Sus scrofa: one gene and its partners. The main gene of each other region encodes a partner of the protein of the gene in region 2 in a complex. Links are inferred from orthologs where the notes say so. Each region holds a gene or a part of one and is shown on either strand. Other genes may lie near its edges. The genes, in order: FGF23, KL, FGFR4 and FGFR3.

Region 1 (4,100 bases), on a different chromosome or scaffold from region 2:
CATTTCACTGGAAATGTATAATTAATTAGGAGAGGGAAAAAAGCACCTCACACCTTAACGTCTATGGAAGAGCATTGCTTTGCACGCTTTACAGAGGTCATTACAAATCCTTCTCCAGCCTGTTACTTAGTTGTGCCACCTAGCTGCACACGTCAGTGTTTCTTCCTTCCTTTATAAGTGGTAACTTTTAATCTTAATGTATAAGTAATATATATATACATCTATAATATATATATAATGTGGAATTATATAATATATAATTACATATAATGTATAATTATATATTATGTAATATATAATTATATATATTCCTTTTTTAGTAACTTTTAATCTTATATATATAATTATATATTCCTTTTTGGGTAAGTTTTAATCTCAATGTACATATATTATATAATAATATATAATTATATATATTATAGCTATATAATGCTTATGATAACCGTTTTGAATAGTATAAAAGGTTATATAAACTAGAAAACGTGTCTTCCTTCCACCCATCCCCACCCAGTCCCCACCCACGTTTGTTAATTGTCAGAGACACAACGCTTTAGTGAGGGTCTATATTGGACAGAACAAAAGCACATTTCTGTGAAGAAAAGAAATCCAAAGTCAGTTCAAGTCCCTTGGCGTCCTCTCAGTCTTTTTAATTCATTCCAACTAGTGCTCTGTGCCTCCTGGGGGCTGAGGTCGGTGGATACAGGAGGGCAAGTTCCGGGAGTGGTGCCGTAAGCTCAGTCGTCTGAGCCCATCCCCCTCCTGGCACCACTCACAACCCCCACCCAGGACGTGTCTTGGGAGTCTCCTTTCATCAAAGGGATTCTATGATTCTAGATAAGTTTTACAAGCATTCTCTACTTGTCTGCAGCCTTTTCCATCTGTGGGAATCAAAATACCATAATCTACTATCCTGCATTTTAAATCACCTCTTATCTTGAAGTAAAGGGGGCCCTCCAGGAGAGGTGCAAATTTGCTTTTTCTTAAAAATCGGATAATGAGCTGAGAGACCCGAAGTGATGAAAGTCTAGAGGTGTTGGAAAGGCCAGGGCTTCTTTTGAAGTCACACGGCTTTGCATAATATCGGACACACTGGAGGTTGTGCTAAATAGCCATTGAATAAAACGAGCGATAATTTGGATAGGTCAACTGTATCCAGATTTCTTTCAGATTCTCGCCATGGGACTCAAACTTGGCTTCCAAGATGTTGACTCCCGAGTCCTACTGTCCTCCCCTGAGTTCGGGAGCCTGTTTGGTATTTGGGAGACCCTCCTCCTTCCCTTCATCTCCTGTCATCACCCGTGGAGAATTTGAAGAGGTTCTGAACTAAGCATGTGCTTCTATCTTGCTACCAGGTTTACGGACCTTTGACTCTTGGCCGAATGAATGTCTTGCATACAGCACGGCTGCGGCAGGATGACTGAATAATTTAGTACAACAACAAAGGGCAAGCCATTATTCTATAAGAAATTGGCTTTGATTAAAGCGACTATGATTACTCTCTCATTCCTTTACTCAGACCTATTTGGAATCAGTTGGCATTTTTTCTACATCCTTAGAGTAATTTTTACAAGTTCTCCTAAAACAGAAGACCTTGTCTTTTTCAATTTGTCTTGCCATCACCCCATTGTCCCTTCTGGAGATATCTGAAGCACAGCTATAACTGGCTGACTGTTGTGATCCAACTTTCCACAGACCTAATCTTTAAAGGCATTCTGGTTGTGTTCATGTTTTCAGTGAGTTCTCAGCCAGTTTCATTTGCTGCTGAGTGGACCCTTCAGCTCCACAGAGAAGACTCACTAGCTCATACGATACTGGGTACCGCTGAAGCCCCGAGTAAACCTGCGGGATGCATGAGCCCAGGGATGGCTGTGTGGATGCACTGGGGCAGGTGCATCAAACCCTCCTTCCTAGACAGTCTGTCTTTCATGCATTTTCCTGAGATCTTTTATAAGGCTGGAAGCTCGGGGTTGGAAAGAGCCCCCTGGGTTCATCCATTCCAAACCTTGGGAATCTTCTTCACAACCTCCACGGCTAACCGAGTCGTGAGCCAAAACTCAGTGTCTACGGACTGATCTGGCTTCTTTCCCTCCCAGCCTCCGTGCCTATGTTTTGGACATTTTTTAATTCTTTGGACAGGGCAACGAGAAACTGGCTGCTATCGTGCGCAGACAGATTTTAATTGAGATGGGAATTATTCTTGTTGGGAGAAACCGGTATATTAGGGAGTTTGAGGAGGTGGCAGAATTTTCTCCCAAGGTTTAAATACACAGACACACACACACACACACACTCACACGAATCCTGGACAAGAAGCCAGGAGGCTGGATTAGCCCTCTGGTCCAGCCAGAGTCTTCCCAAGTCCCTGCAAGTGGGTGCGCAGAGGAGCCCCCCTTCTTCCCAGCCCAGACGGCACCCCCACTCACTGTAGATGGTCTGTTGGGGTGAGCCATCCACGTGGCCATCCTTGTGGATCTGCAGGTGGTAGCTGTTCCTGGCCGTGGCCGTGTACAGGTGGGTCAGGCCGCCCCAGCCAGAGCTCAGCAGCGGGGAGGTGTCGGGATAGGCTCTGGCCGCACAGCACAGGGTGCAGACCCAGAGCCCGAGGCGGGCCCCCAGCATCGCCGCTCTCTGACTGGCTGGCGCGGAATTTGAAATCTGACCCTGCCTCCCCAGCTCCTTGGAGACCTTGCAGACCTATTTCTCTTCCTCACCGGTTTCTGGCCTGAGGCTCCCAGGCTGCATTCCCTCCTTTTTTCCCTCGGACTTTTAAAGGGTAGCACTGTGACATCAAACAGGAAAAACTCCGCTGTCCACATCCTCTGTGTTGTAATCAGCCCATTTGAAGAGAATACAGGGACCTTTGAGGCTCACGGAAGGCACTTCGGTTCCACACACACACACACACACACACACACACACACACACACGTTTCAAGCCAATGCTCCAAAAAGTGAATGATGTGTGGGCAAAAGTTATCTACGACTCTGGGTTGTCCGCTGACCCGCCTCACTTCCACCAGGAAATGTGAAGGCAGCCCACGGTTCTGAAAAAAATCCAGCTTCGGTCATGTAGTCGACAGACGCCTGTGTAATTAATCTCCCATCAAGTCACTCATTTTGGTTTTCTCAGTCTGTTTAATTCCAATCAAGATCTGTGCATCCAGAGCTTTCTCTGTACACAGCACTGGGTGGGTGTGGGGGGTTTTTTTTGTTTGATTTTTGTTTTTTTAATTTTTTCCCTCCTTTTTTTTTTTTGGCTTTTTAGGCCGCACCTGCGGCATATGGAGGTTCCCAGGCTAGGGGTCAAATCAGAACTACAGCTGCTGGTCTATGCCACAGCCACAGCAATGCCGGATCCAAGCCAAGACTGTGACCTACATACACCACAGCTCATGGCCACGCTGGATTCTTAACCCACTGGGTGAGGCCAGGAGTCAAACCCGCAACCTCATAGTTCCTCGTTGGATTCGTTTCCATTGCACCACAACAGATACTCCTGTTTTTTTATTTTTATGGCCAAACCTGTGGCATACGGAGGTTCCCAGGTCAGCGACAGAATCTGAGCCACAGCTGAAACATACACCACAGCTGCAGCAATGACAGATCATTTAACCTACTGCACTGGGCTGGGGATTGAACCTATGCCTCTACAGAGACCGGAGGCGCTGCAGTTGGGTTCTCAATCCACTGCACCACAGCAGGAACTCCACTAGGTGAGTGTTTCAAGGGATACTGCCATAACCCAGGACAGCATCAGGCAATGGTGTCCTCCGAGGCCTCCTCCTCTGAAGATATGGGAGACCCCCCCAAGGCACCAAAGTCGCCACCTTGGGAAGATTTCAAGATGGGAGTAAAGAAGAAAGGCCTCGAAGTCACGGCTGCTTTATGACAATCTTTGGCTTGATGGCGTGCTTCACCTAATTTGTACTGCCTAGCACCACTCAATTCAGAGACCTCATGAAAATGGGAAGTCTGCTGACTGAGCACAGAGAGCAGAGCCTGGGAAGGTAGGTCCCAGCAGCACAGCTGCAGTCCAGGGGTCCCCATAATCAGTGTCTATAGGATGCCTAGCTCCTGGGACTGGATGTGCCCTCTTACGTG
Region 2 (4,283 bases):
GAGAACTTCTATATGATGCTTAAAAAGAAACAAACCAAAAAAAAGAATGGATGTATTTCTATGAGGATCTTATTCATTACAGATGCAGGTGTGCCAGGATTGAGGCACATCGTATTAGAGAGAAAGGCGAAGATATCTGCAAGAGCTAATACATTTGTTGGGGCTTTCCACGTTTGAGTTCTCTGTGTGCACATCTTTTTTCATGTAAGCATCACAAGCCTCTAAGTTGGCAGGACAGACAGGCCATCTCCATTTTACAGATAGGATCCCAAGGCTTGGAGAGATTGTCCCTCCCAAGATCACAGAGGTGAAACCCGGACTCCACTCCTCTCCAGTTATTCACAGATCAGGTAAACACACTCAAAGGAGACACTGGGTCGCCACCATTTCTGTCTTCGGTAACCGGAAAAACGTCATTACTCTATTTTGATGTAGAGGGTGCTTGGGCTAAATCCCTCCTCCCTTTTCCCTTCACTGATCTGGTAGCCTGTGCGAGACCAGGGGGCTTCCTGAACCGGAGCTGAAAGCTAAAATGTGATTACTCAAAAAACAGATGCAAAGGGGTCGCAGAGGTGGATGATAGTTACAAACCTGTCTCTCTCTCTCTCTCCCTCCCCCCCCCCCAAGGACATTCACAACTGTCATTTGAAGTTTACCATTTCCGCAAGATGGAATTAGAGAACAAGTGGTCTGAGACCATTAAAAGATAACAGTAGGAGGGAGAGGAAAGCAAAGGCCATCGCAAGTCATGCATCTCCTTTGTCTTCCTCGAAAGCACCCTAGACTGGGCCCCACAGGACTTGCGATTCAGGCTGCGCGAGTCGAGTGGGTCTTCACGGGAGCATTGTCCCTGAAAAGACCTCAAGAGAAAATCCACCCCCAGTCCTTCTCTCCAAACATTGCAAGTTCCGACCTGGCCCTTCCTGCCCTGACCTCCCAGTACAATCTCCGCCAGTTCCCAACCGGCTCTAGTAAATGTCAGTCACTCGAAGAGAAAGCAGGTGCTTCCCTGCGGGAGGACCCGGAGAGGTCAGGCAAAGATCCTGCGCCCACCTCGGGAAAGTTGGGTGGCCGCCTTCCTTCGACGCGCCTCGGCTCGGCGGCTTCCTCCAGGAGGGTGCGCGGGTGGTATGTAGAAGGCGGCGCGCAGGGAACTCTCCTCGCTGAACCATCCCTAGCGGCCCCTGGGAGCCGGGAGGAACAGGTGCTTTTTCTCCGACGTCCGGGAGCGGCGCCTGCGGCACCTAGCCAGCTATCGCGCCCGGGTCGCCGGCGCCCGCTCGCCCTTTGCGCCCCCGCCCCCCAACCCAGGGCGGGGGGAGGCGCGGGGCCCCAGGTAATTATTGCCAGCAGGGCCCGCCGGGGAAGCGGGGGTGGGCGCGCCGGCGGGGGGCGGGCGGCGCGGGCATAAAGGGGCGCGGCGCCCCAGCGCCCGGCTCCCGCGCAGCATGCCCGCCCGCGCCCCGCCGCGCCGCCCGTGGCCGCCGCTGCCGCTGCCGCTGCTGCTGCTGGCCCTGAGCGGCCGCTGCCTGCGCGCCGAGCCCGGCGACGGCGCGCAGACCTGGGCCCGCTTCGCGCGCCCTCCGGCCCCTGAGGCTGCGGGGCTCCTGCACGACACCTTCCCCGACGGCTTCCTCTGGGCCGTGGGCAGCGCCGCCTACCAGACGGAGGGCGGCTGGCGGCAACACGGCAAGGGCGCGTCCATCTGGGACACTTTCACCCACCGCCCCGCTGCGCCCCTCAGCGGCCCCCCAGGAGCGGGCCTGCCGTCGGGCGTCCCGTCGCCGACCCTGCCCGCCACGGGGGACGTGGCCAGCGACAGCTACAACAACGTCTTCCGGGACACGGAGGGGCTGCGCGAACTCGGGGTCACTCACTACCGATTCTCCATCTCGTGGGCGCGGGTGCTCCCCACTGGCATCGCCAGCGCCCCCAACCGCGAGGGGCTGCGCTACTACCGGCGTCTGCTGGAGCGGTTGCGGGAGCTGGGCGTGCAGCCTGTGGTGACCCTGTACCACTGGGACCTGCCCCAGCGCTTGCAGGACACCTACGGAGGCTGGGCCAACCGCGCTCTAGCCGACCACTTCAGGGATTACGCTGAGCTGTGCTTCCGCCACTTCGGCGGCCAGGTCAAGTACTGGATCACCATTGACAACCCCTACGTGGTGGCCTGGCATGGCTATGCCACCGGGCGCCTGGCCCCCGGCGTCCGGGGCGGCCCGCAGCTTGGGTACTTGGTGGCGCACAACCTTCTCCTGGTGAGTTCGAGGGGCCACGCTGGGGAGAGGGCCGCAGGAGACGCCAGGGGGCTAGAGGAGTGGCTGAGCCTCCAGTCAGAGGAGGCTCCGTTTGAGCACATCTGTGAGGTCACCTGGGATTCACACCGGGGAGGATGGGAATGGCGGCTTGAGCATCTCGGGCTTCCCCGGAAGGCTTGGAGTTGAAATGGGAGGGAAGCCCTGCAGTTGGTGTCTGAATGAGTGCCCTTTTGAGCCCATTGTCAAAAAGAAATTGGAACCAGTTTCTCCTGTGAGAAAAGGGAGCTCCTTTCTCTGTGGGTAGAGATATTCCTAGAGGTAGGGTGCGGGAGGGCTAGGAGCAGCCACAGGGAGCATGAGGAGCACGGAGGAAAGAAACCAGTTTGTTCAGAAGTCACAGAGATAGCTTTACTCTCTGCTACAGTTTGTGGAAATGTCTGAGTTCAGTTTCAATCCAATAAAATCTATCTTGCTTGTGGCATAAATTCATGCTGCAGAGAATTTGAAGGTGTCAAAATCGCATCTCTTGCACAGCAGAGATGTGATTTGTCTTTGGAAGTTCTTTCTGTAGCAGGACTGAGAACTGCATCCCCCAGCCTTGCTTAATCAGCAGGGGTATGTATCACTCCTTATATAATCTTAAACAAAGCTACCCATAAAATGCAAAAACAATTACAGGGTGATACAGATTGGGTCCTACAACAACTGTATTTCCACGACGCTCTCTCCAGTTGGAAGGATTCCTCAGGGATGAGATTATTAGCCTGACAAAATTGATTTTTAACACCTTGTGCAAAAGGCTTAATAAATTTTGACAGCAGGAAGAATTGATGTGCCATGATAAAGCTGTCTCCCAAATAATTCTTCCTCCTTTTCCTCCTTTACTTAGTGCTCAAGATTAGATCTCATTGATTTGAGGGTTCATTTATAATGTCAGTTATTGGCACACTTTGTACAGAGATTTGTATGATGAGAGACTATTTTATATATATAGTGAAAGTGTTCAAATGTATAACTTTTGGCACCATATTTAGGTGATTTGTAGGCCAACTGGAAGATCTATTTTTAAGTTTAGAATTAAGCAACATACTTTGAACAAATTCAAGATGAAGACCACTGCTACACACTTTTAATTGAAGCCGTAGATAATTGAAGCAGAGCAGTACTGGGCTATCGAGTTGACTTACTGCCTGGAGCTGCTGGTAATGTTGTAATAGTGGCTAATTAGATTGTATGTCAGCTCCACAAAACCTGTTTGCTACCACAGATCATAAAAGAATGTGGGATTTGTTTGACAAAAAATTTGTGATTTTAGTGATTCCATATTGATAGATATTTTTCATTAAGATACTTTAGACCAGTGATAATCAACTTTTTCAGTCTGTTAATTCTTTTAAGGAATCAGAAGACTCCAAATAGTACCTGTTCATGGTTGGTCATAGAAAAACTGTGGGAAAAGCTGGCCCCTCTTTTGAAGAAAATACAAGCAAATTTCAGTTTATACCATAAACAAGAGATTTGTGGACCAAGTGAAGGACCTAATAGGCCACTCCTGCAAAGTCACTACTTTATATTTAAATCAAATGAGTTCTATTTTTAAATGCATGTAATAAGCCCTATGGATATAAAATTATCAATTGTTATTATAGACACTTCCAGGATTGTTCCATGAACAAGATAGGATTTGGGACTACAGGAGCTTTCTAGTACTCTGGTATTTTAAATAGTCAACATGCTTTTGATTCTTGTGCCCACTCTTGGTCTTTTGATTAACTTCCCAGTTATATTTTTGTATCCTTACACAAAACCTTGCCAAACACTAACTATTCTTCCCAGAAATGCAGTGAACTTTGTGTTCATAAGAAATTAGTCACTGGTGGACAGTTGGTTTTGCTGATGCTGCAAACAAAACTATTGTTGCTGTAAAATATTAATTTTGCTTTCACATTTCTTTGGTTTGGAGTGTAGTCATTCTTGCATCTTCTGAAGTAAGTTGTCATGATCAAAAATGGTGTCTTAATGTTT
Region 3 (4,311 bases), on a different chromosome or scaffold from region 2:
TTTATTACTGAAGAGCCAAAAAAAAAAAATCTGAAATATAATACAAGGCCAAATATCAGCATCTGGATGTTATCTGATCTGATCCCCACTCTTTAGCGCATTGCTGACATTTCCATGACCAGCTTTGGACACCTCCAGTGGCAGGGCACTCACTACTAACAAGGCAGTACGTTTTATGGCAAGTGGAAGCTCTCTCTCTTTTTTTTTTTTGTCTTTTTAGGGCCACACCCATGGCATATGGAAATTCCCAGGCTAGGGGTCGAATCAGAGCTACAGCTGCAGGCCTACACCACAGCTCACAACAAAGCCAGATCCTTAACCCACTGAGTGAGGTTACGGATCAAACCCAAGTCCTCCTGCATACTATAGTCAGGTTTGTTACCGCTGAGCCATGACAGGAACTCCTCCCCCCCGCCCCTTTTAAGGCCACACCTGTGGCATATGAAAGTTCCTGGGCTAGGGGTTAAATCCAGGGCTAGGGGCCACAGCCATAGCAACACCGGATCCGAGCTGCATCTGTGACCTATGCTGCAGCTTGTGGCAACAGCAGACTCTTAATCTACTAAGCAAGGCCAGGGATCAAACCTGCATCCTTGCCGACACTCAATATGTCGGGTTCTTAACCCACTAAACTACAAAAGAAGTCCTCTCTCCTGCAAGGCATGCAGAAGTTTCCGGATCAGGGATCAAAGCTAAGCCAGAGCAGCAGCAATGCTGAATCCTTAACCCTCTGAGCCACCAGGGAACTCTCAGAAGTTCTTTCACACTCTGAACCAAAACTGCATTCTGGAGATACTTCTGTTTTCTGTGCTTCCACAACTCCATCTGAGGCAACACAAGCTCTTGTAAAGGATGTACACTCTAGTGTCTGACAGAGCCAGGATCAAATCCTGACTCTTACCAACTTGCAAGTCCCTGTCCCTCTCTGGGCCACTCTCCTCCCAGGACTACTTTGAGGATAAAAGAGAATGTATGTAGGAGGTGGGCACACATAATGTTGGAATGTTCTCTTCTCCATCTGCCTCCCCATGATTGTCACCCTGGGTCTGCCCTTGGCCAGGGAAGTCACCTCTCTCTGTGGTGCTACTCACCTCAAGTGTGATGTACACACACACACCCCATCCAATTACCCTCCTCCAAATGCTACCAAGGATGTCTCCATCCCCCAAGAGGAACACTCAAAACCGAACCTCAGCCAGGGCAAAGGAAGAGGGTGACCAGTGTAGTTCCAGGGGCCTACCAGCTATCACTTGGGGCTGGGTAACAGGTGGTGCTGGTGTTTCTGGATCTACCTTGCCCAGGAGTCCCATCGCACCCTCTCTACTTAGCCTCTTTTCCCTCTTCAGCTCTGCTTCTGAGGCAAGTGGCACTCGGTGTGTCCTGGCCAAAGTTATTATCTCCCGCTTCAAACTGCTCCTTCCCTGAGTTGCCTCCAACTGGGGCATCACTTTCCAAACGCCTCTCCAGTCCATCCCTCTTCCCCTGCTTGAATCTAGAGCATGCCACGGTCATCTCTAGCTTGGACCTTTGCAAACATCTCTCTGGGTTCTCCAGCAGGGCTTCAAAAATGACAAGTCTGGGAAGTTCCCTGGTGTCCTAGTGGTTAGGACTCTGTGCTTTTCACCAGTGTGGTCCAGAGTTCAATCCCTAGTCTGGGAACTGAGATCCCACATCAAGCTGATTAAAAAAAAAAAAAAAAGTCTGTCCCACCCCAGCTTACAAGCCCTTAATGGCTGTCTATGTGCAGCAGGACCCAGTCCACACTGTTTATCCAGCATCCTAGGCCTCCCTCCATGCCCTTGTCCCTATCTTTGGCTGCACATTCTGCTACTTCAGTACTGTTAAACCATTAGTTTTCAAAACTGCACGTCTTCTCTCTTGCCTATACCTCCATGCTCCCCATTTCTCTTTTCCACATAGCTCAGAAGACACAATTTCCACTATCTCTGTGCCCATCACTGGCTTCCATTGCCCTTCCTCTGTGAAATCCCCTCACCCTGCTCTGCTCTGCAGAAAGGGCGGCTCTCTAGGTTGGGAGTGGAGTGGGAGGCCCAGGGATTTTTATCCCACCCCCAGGCTACCCTGACCTCAGAACCTTAGTCGGGTCACAAGGGGCCGCTGACCGACGGCCCAGCACGTGGGGCCGAAGGGCCTGACTCTGGCACAAGTAGTCTTGTGTTCTCCAGCCTCTCGCACCCAAGCGCTGGGGGACCCTGGACAAATGACTGCACCTCTCAGAGCCACAGCCTCCTTATCTCTACTCGGAGCCCGCACACGGTCGGGGACAGAGGGACCAGGGCGCTCTTCCTCCTCCACCCCAACCCAGCCTCGCTGGGGGCAAATGCCAGTCACGGGTCCTGAAGGAGAGCTGCAGAGACAGCCGGCCCGCCCCCGCCCCGGTGGGCAATGAGTAACCAGCTCCGCGGCCCGGGTGCTCTTTGGACAGAGCGGGACAAAAGGCCCTGTGTGCGCTGCGGGTTACTGATTTACCGTCCCCATCAACCCCCCCCGCCCCCCCACCGGCTGAGCGGACGCCTAGGTCCTCAGTGCTGGGAGGGGTCAGCTCCCAGTCCCGCCGCCGCTCGCCCCCTGGCGGCTGGGAGCGCAGCCTGGTCCCGGCTCACCTCGAACCTCCGTGGACCCGCTTCCAGCACAGGGTTCCGACTCACCTGGGTCCTCTGCAGCCCGGCTCCCAGCTTCCACCAGCCCCGACCCCTGCGCCCAGCGGGGATGGCAGGCTCAGCCCGGGAGCTGCTCAGCCCCGGGCGGGAGAGCCAGGAATGCACCCGCGACAGCGGCGTGGCCGCGGGGCGGCCCAGCGCCCCGCCCACCTCGAGTTTCGCCTACTTTGGGCTCCTCCCCTCCTGGACCAGCTCTGTCCTGACAGAGACTGGGCCGGGAACAGCCCAGTGCCCCGCCCATCTCGGGCCTGGCCCCTCCTGGACCAGCTCCTGACAGCGGGTGGCATAGCGTCCCGCCCACCTGGAGACCAGTCCTCGAACCCATCAGCGCCCCGCGGCCTACGGGGCGGGGGAACGGGGGGGGCGGGGGGGCAATCCTAGCTGGCACATCCCTTCCGATTCTGCCTTTATTTGCCTCACCCAGGCCAGGCTTCCAAGTTCTAGTCCATTGCTCCACCTCCTGCACTTCATCCCTCTGGGGACAAGACCCAGCAGTCCTGACCCGCCATTTCCGTAGACTCTGGCTTAGTCTGGCTCCTTTGTCTTCTGCGCAATTGTCATACAGTAGCTAGTAGACCTACCCAGCTTGTACCCCCATCCGTTCTCTGAACAACTTTCAGAGTGATTTTTTTTCCTTTTTGGCCGCCTCCGGCCTGTGGAAATTCCTGGTCCAGGGATCGAATCCATGCCACAGCAGCGACCCAAGTCACTGCAGTGACAACGCAGGATCCTTAACCCGTTGTGCCACAAGAGAACTCCCAGAGTGATATTTAAAATACAAATATGGGAGTTCCTATTATAGCCCAGCCATAACAGTAACCTGACTTAATATCCATGAGGACAGGAGTTGTATCGCTGCCCTTGCTCAGTGTGTTAAGGATCTAGCGTTGCCTCAAGTTCTGGTGTAGGTCGCAGATGTGGCTAGGATCTCAGGTTGCTGTGGCTGCTGTAGCTCCCATTTGACACCTAGCCTGGGAACCTCCGTATGCTGTGGGTGCAGCCCTAAAAAGACAAAAGAAAAAGAAAAGAAAAGAAAATACGACTGTATCAACCACAGCCACCGCTTTAAAACTTTCCAAGAACTTCCTATAGAGATTCTTGGCCTGACCTGGCCCACCCACATCTTCAGATAAAGTCTTCATTCACTTCCTCCTTGCTCCCACCGCTACCTCCGGGCCTTTGCAAATATAGTTCCTCTTCCTGGAGTGATCTTTCCCTCTAGATCTGGTTAGTTCCATCTCATTCTTAGGTTTCATCTCACTTCCTCAGAGAAACCCTTTAAATTTGTCAGGTTCCTCTTCCAGGTCTTTGCTCCTGTGAGCATGGGTAGTGAGAAGGGAGTGAAGTAATTCAGAGCAAAAATTGCAGGACTCAAAGCTCAGCACCTTCACACATGGACTTATCAAGTTACTCCATCCCTGTGTCTTGATTTCCTCATCAGTAAAACAGGTAGAATGACAGTATCATCCTCAAGAAGTTGTCACCAAAAGCAGACATGTTTTCCTCATACACTGTTGGTGGGAATGTAAAGTTGTGCAGCCACTGTGGAAAATGGTATAGAGGTTTCTCAAAAAACTAAAAGTAGGAGGAGTTTGTGGCTCAGCAGAAAGGGAACACAACTAGTATCCAT
Region 4 (3,212 bases), on a different chromosome or scaffold from region 2:
CCGAGGAGCAGCTCACCTTCAAGGACCTGGTGTCCTGTGCCTACCAGGTGGCGCGGGGCATGGAGTACCTGGCCTCACAGAAGGTGAGCGGGGGGCCGGCCGGGGCGGGCGGGGGCAGAGCGGCCGCCGCCCGGAGGCCTCAGCCCCCGCCCCGCCCCCAGTGCATCCACAGGGACCTGGCAGCCCGCAACGTGCTGGTGACGGAGGACAACGTGATGAAGATCGCGGACTTCGGCCTGGCCCGCGACGTGCACAACCTCGACTACTACAAAAAGACCACCAACGTGAGTCCGGCCCGCGGGGCGGGGCGCAGGGCTCGAGCCCGAGGGCGCCTGGGAGCCAACACCCCCCTTCCTCCCCCAGGGCCGGCTGCCCGTGAAGTGGATGGCACCCGAGGCCTTGTTCGACCGCGTCTACACCCACCAGAGTGATGTGTACGTGCCCCCAGCCCTGCGGGGGGAGGGGGGCGTCGGTCCAGGCCCCTCCAGGGCAGGGGCGGGGAAGCCGTGGGGGCAGAGCCAGCCCCCCGCCCTCGGCAGCGTCTGTTCTGGGGCAGCGGGCCGCAGGGCAGGCTGACGTGCGGGTCCCCCCCACAGCTGGTCCTTCGGGGTTCTGCTGTGGGAGATCTTCACGCTGGGGGGCTCGCCGTACCCCGGCATCCCCGTGGAGGAGCTCTTCAAGCTGCTGAAGGAAGGCCACCGCATGGACAAGCCGGCCAACTGCACACACGACCTGTGAGTGCGCGGCCCCGGCCGCTGCTGGGGGGGGCGGGGGCGGGCACCGGGCGGGGCCGGACCTGAGTGCCGCCCGCAGGTACATGATCATGCGGGAGTGCTGGCACGCCGCGCCCTCCCAGAGGCCCACCTTCAAGCAGCTGGTGGAGGACCTGGACCGCGTCCTCACGGTGACGTCCACCGACGTGAGTGCTGGTCCCGCCCCCGGGGGGGAGGGCGGGGGGGGGGGCGGCACTGACCCGCCCCGCCCCCGCCCGCAGGAGTACCTGGACCTGTCGGTGCCCTTCGAGCAGTACTCGCCGGGCGGCCAGGACACGCCCAGCTCCAGCTCCTCAGGCGACGACTCGGTGTTTGCCCACGACCTGCTGCCTCCGGCCCCACCCAGCGGCGGGGGCTCGCGGACGTGAAGGGTCGCAGGCGGCGGGCGGGCCGAGCCCCCATCAATGTGAGAGCGGACCCCAGCCCACCGTGCGGCTGCCACGGGGTGACCACGCGTCCCACCGGCCAGACCCAGACGGGTCCGGGTGGGCGGACAGACGGCTTTGTGGGTGTGCGTGCACACGCGTGTGCGCAGGGGTCCCTGGGGTGCCTGCCCTGCTGGACAGTGACCTCCCGGCCACCTGTGCCAGCAGCACTGGGGACCGAATGTAGAATGCAAGGGGCTCCTCAGGGCAGGGAGCTGGGCCCCCCACTCCCTTTCCCCCCACTGCCGCCCCACAGGGCATGTCGGGGTGGGCCGAGCCCCCTCCAAGTGCCCAAGCTGAGCCTACCGGTAAGGGCCCCCCGTGACACACCTCCTACCCCAGTGGCACCTGCGCCCGGGGTGCGTGAGCGGCCCCCACCTCCAGGCCTCCCCACCTCCCCGCTGCCCCTCAGAGACTGAAATTACGGGTACCTGAAGGCAGGAGCCTTCAACTTCTATCCGAAAGGTTTATTTCAGAGATGAGTGTACATTTATATGCATAGATGCTGTGTATATGGTATATACACATACGTATATATATAAATACCTATATGGGAGGAGGACGCTGGTACAACTGAGGCGCGGGACCCTGAGGGCGCAGGCGGCGGAGGGGCTCTACTCGGGGAGGGCCCCTGGGGGTCTCACTATGGAAACAGATGCAGAAACCAGCAGAGGATGGAGGGGCTTCTCTGGCACCGCGTTTGGTTGTAAAGATTGTACCTGGACCTGTATATTTGTAAAGCTATTTATGGACCCCCCCCCCCCAGAGCCCGTGTCCCTGTTGCTCCCCGGGCTCCTAGTGCTTAGCTGGCCGTGTGGCAGAGGTTTAAGTTTTAACTTATTAACAGTGAGAAGGTTTATGCTTCGTTTAGGGGGGTGGCTGAGGATGCGTCCAGCACACCATCCGCGGCCGGAGCCGGCCCCCGGCCCCCTGAAGGGGGGAGAGTAGTTTGAGGTGATGCCAGGGAGGCTGTTTGATTTCCTTTGGCCTTCTTTTGCAGGAGACATAGATGTCTATAGGATTTTCTTTAGGAGATTTATTTTTTTGAACTTCAAAGCAAGCTGGTATTTTCATACAAGTTCTAATTGCCATGTGATCCAGGCAGGGAGGCAGGTTCCGCGGGGGCCAGCCCTGCGTACAGGCTCAGATGTTATTAGATATTACGAGTTTATATATATCTATATATATAATTTATTGAGTTTTTACAAGATGTATTTGCTGTAGATTTAACACTTCTTATGCAATGCTTCTGGACTTTTATAGCCCGCACTACCTTTCAGAGCTTGGAAGAGAAAGCTGCAATTTCCGTTTCATTACTCTTTGTACCGGTAACAGCCTTGCGTTTGGACGGATGTTTTCTGTCGCGGGCTGGGGTAGGGCTCTGTTCTCATGGCCCCCAGCCTCGTGGGGGCCAAAGGTGTTGGCCCAAACTGGCAGACGTGCCTTCCGAAGAAAATAAACAGACAACTGGTTCAGATCCGTGCTTAACTTATCTCCTGTCCTGGAATCCGGACAGCTCCCATGTCCTCCCTGCCCAGCTGGGGCAAGTTCTGTCATCTGCCCGCCTCCCCCCTGCCACCATCCCCCCTCCCCGTCCCCCGAGGAGGGAGGGAGCCCTAGTTGCTGCTGGAGCAGTGGTGGGGCGGGGGCTGTGAACTGGACAGGCTGCCTGGGCCTCGTGTTCTCCAGGGGTGTCTAGCCTAGGTCTCCGGCTTGGACAGGATGCGTCCAAGCCCCGCCACATCGCGCCCCCCTCTTACCTGCCTTCCCAGTCAGTGGGGAGGGAGCGGTTTCTCCATGGGGCAACCCCCCCCCAACAGAGCCCCGTGGACACCCCTGGTCCCTTGATTCAAGTGTCTGCACTACTGGCCACAGTCCTGCTCCTGGCCAGCTTCCCTCCCTCCCACAGGCCAGGCACCCCCCTTGGGCCCCTCCAGTGCCCCCCCCCCTTGCTACCACAGGCCCAGTGACAAGATCTGGACCCACGTGTTCCAGATCGCCCCCAGCCGTGGAG

Evidence for each region.
Region 1: the proteins of KL (region 2) and FGF23 are in contact, whole or in part, in a cryo-EM structure (PDB 7YSH), measured with the Homo sapiens proteins. The link is inferred for Sus scrofa from reciprocal best matches to the Homo sapiens genes KL and FGF23. Residues at the interface, in NP_004786.2 of Homo sapiens: Phe377, Lys385, Leu389, Glu390, Pro392, Trp417, Phe418, Ser420, Lys429, Tyr432, Tyr433, Lys436, Phe437, Arg468, Ser471, Ile472, Arg556, Arg693, Asn694, Met695, Thr696, Tyr697, Ile735, Val752, Phe755, Asp756, Asn782, Asn783, Leu785, Ile812; in NP_065689.1 of Homo sapiens: Leu39, Met74, Ala80, Val88, Arg91, Leu166, Ile167, Phe169, Asn170, Ile173, Arg175, His177, Asp184, Ser185, Glu186, Arg187, Asp188, Pro189, Leu190, Asn191, Val192, Leu193, Lys194, Pro195, Arg196, Ala197, Arg198, Met199, Thr200, Pro201.
Region 3: the proteins of KL (region 2) and FGFR4 are in contact, whole or in part, in a cryo-EM structure (PDB 7YSW), measured with the Homo sapiens proteins. The link is inferred for Sus scrofa from reciprocal best matches to the Homo sapiens genes KL and FGFR4. Residues at the interface, in NP_004786.2 of Homo sapiens: Ser539, Gln540, Phe541, Thr542, Asp543, Asn545, Val546, Tyr547, Leu548, Trp549, Asp550, Val551, His553, Ser554, Lys555, Arg556, Leu557, Ile558, Val563, Thr565, Arg568, Tyr571, Val573, Ala576, Gln579, Pro580, Glu625, Arg628; in NP_001341913.1 of Homo sapiens: Asp266, Gln282, Leu284, His286, Ile287, Ile289, Gly295, Ala296, Asp297, Gly298, Phe299, Pro300, Tyr301, Val302, Gln303, Val304, Leu305, Lys306, Asn311, Ser312, Glu314, Leu318, Tyr319, Leu320, Arg321, Asn322, Asp327, Thr332, Leu334, Leu341.
Region 4: the proteins of KL (region 2) and FGFR3 are in contact, whole or in part, in a cryo-EM structure (PDB 7YSU), measured with the Homo sapiens proteins. The link is inferred for Sus scrofa from reciprocal best matches to the Homo sapiens genes KL and FGFR3. Residues at the interface, in NP_004786.2 of Homo sapiens: Ser539, Gln540, Phe541, Thr542, Asp543, Asn545, Val546, Tyr547, Leu548, Trp549, Asp550, Val551, Ser554, Lys555, Arg556, Leu557, Val563, Lys566, Arg568, Tyr571, Val573, Ala576, Pro580; in NP_000133.1 of Homo sapiens: Gln286, Leu288, His290, Val291, Val293, Gly299, Thr303, Pro304, Tyr305, Val306, Thr307, Val308, Leu309, Lys310, Glu320, Leu324, Ser325, Leu326, His327, Asn328, Val329, Glu332, Asp333, Thr338, Leu340, Phe347, His349.

What each region holds. Positions count from the first base shown.
Region 1 is NC_010447.5:66,027,295-66,031,394, reverse strand, and holds the start of FGF23 (fibroblast growth factor 23), read right to left. Parts: upstream 2,805-4,100; 5' UTR 2,620-2,804; coding exon 2,424-2,619; intron 1-2,423. UniProt on the Homo sapiens protein: Regulator of phosphate homeostasis. Inhibits renal tubular phosphate transport by reducing SLC34A1 levels. Up-regulates EGR1 expression in the presence of KL. Acts directly on the parathyroid to decrease PTH secretion. Regulator of vitamin-D metabolism.
Region 2 is NC_010453.5:9,425,788-9,430,070, forward strand, and holds the start of KL (klotho), read left to right. Parts: upstream 1-1,448; coding exon 1,449-2,258; intron 2,259-4,283. UniProt on the Homo sapiens protein: May have weak glycosidase activity towards glucuronylated steroids. However, it lacks essential active site Glu residues at positions 239 and 872, suggesting it may be inactive as a glycosidase in vivo.
Region 3 is NC_010444.4:80,850,952-80,855,262, forward strand, and holds the start of FGFR4 (fibroblast growth factor receptor 4), read right to left. Parts: upstream 2,841-4,311; 5' UTR 2,670-2,840; intron 1-2,669. UniProt on the Homo sapiens protein: Tyrosine-protein kinase that acts as a cell-surface receptor for fibroblast growth factors and plays a role in the regulation of cell proliferation, differentiation and migration, and in regulation of lipid metabolism, bile acid biosynthesis, glucose uptake, vitamin D metabolism and phosphate homeostasis.
Region 4 is NC_010450.4:892,294-895,505, forward strand, and holds the end of FGFR3 (fibroblast growth factor receptor 3), read left to right. Parts: coding exon 1-83; intron 84-161; coding exon 162-284; intron 285-363; coding exon 364-434; intron 435-596; coding exon 597-734; intron 735-813; coding exon 814-919; intron 920-994; coding exon 995-1,141; 3' UTR 1,142-2,673; downstream 2,674-3,212.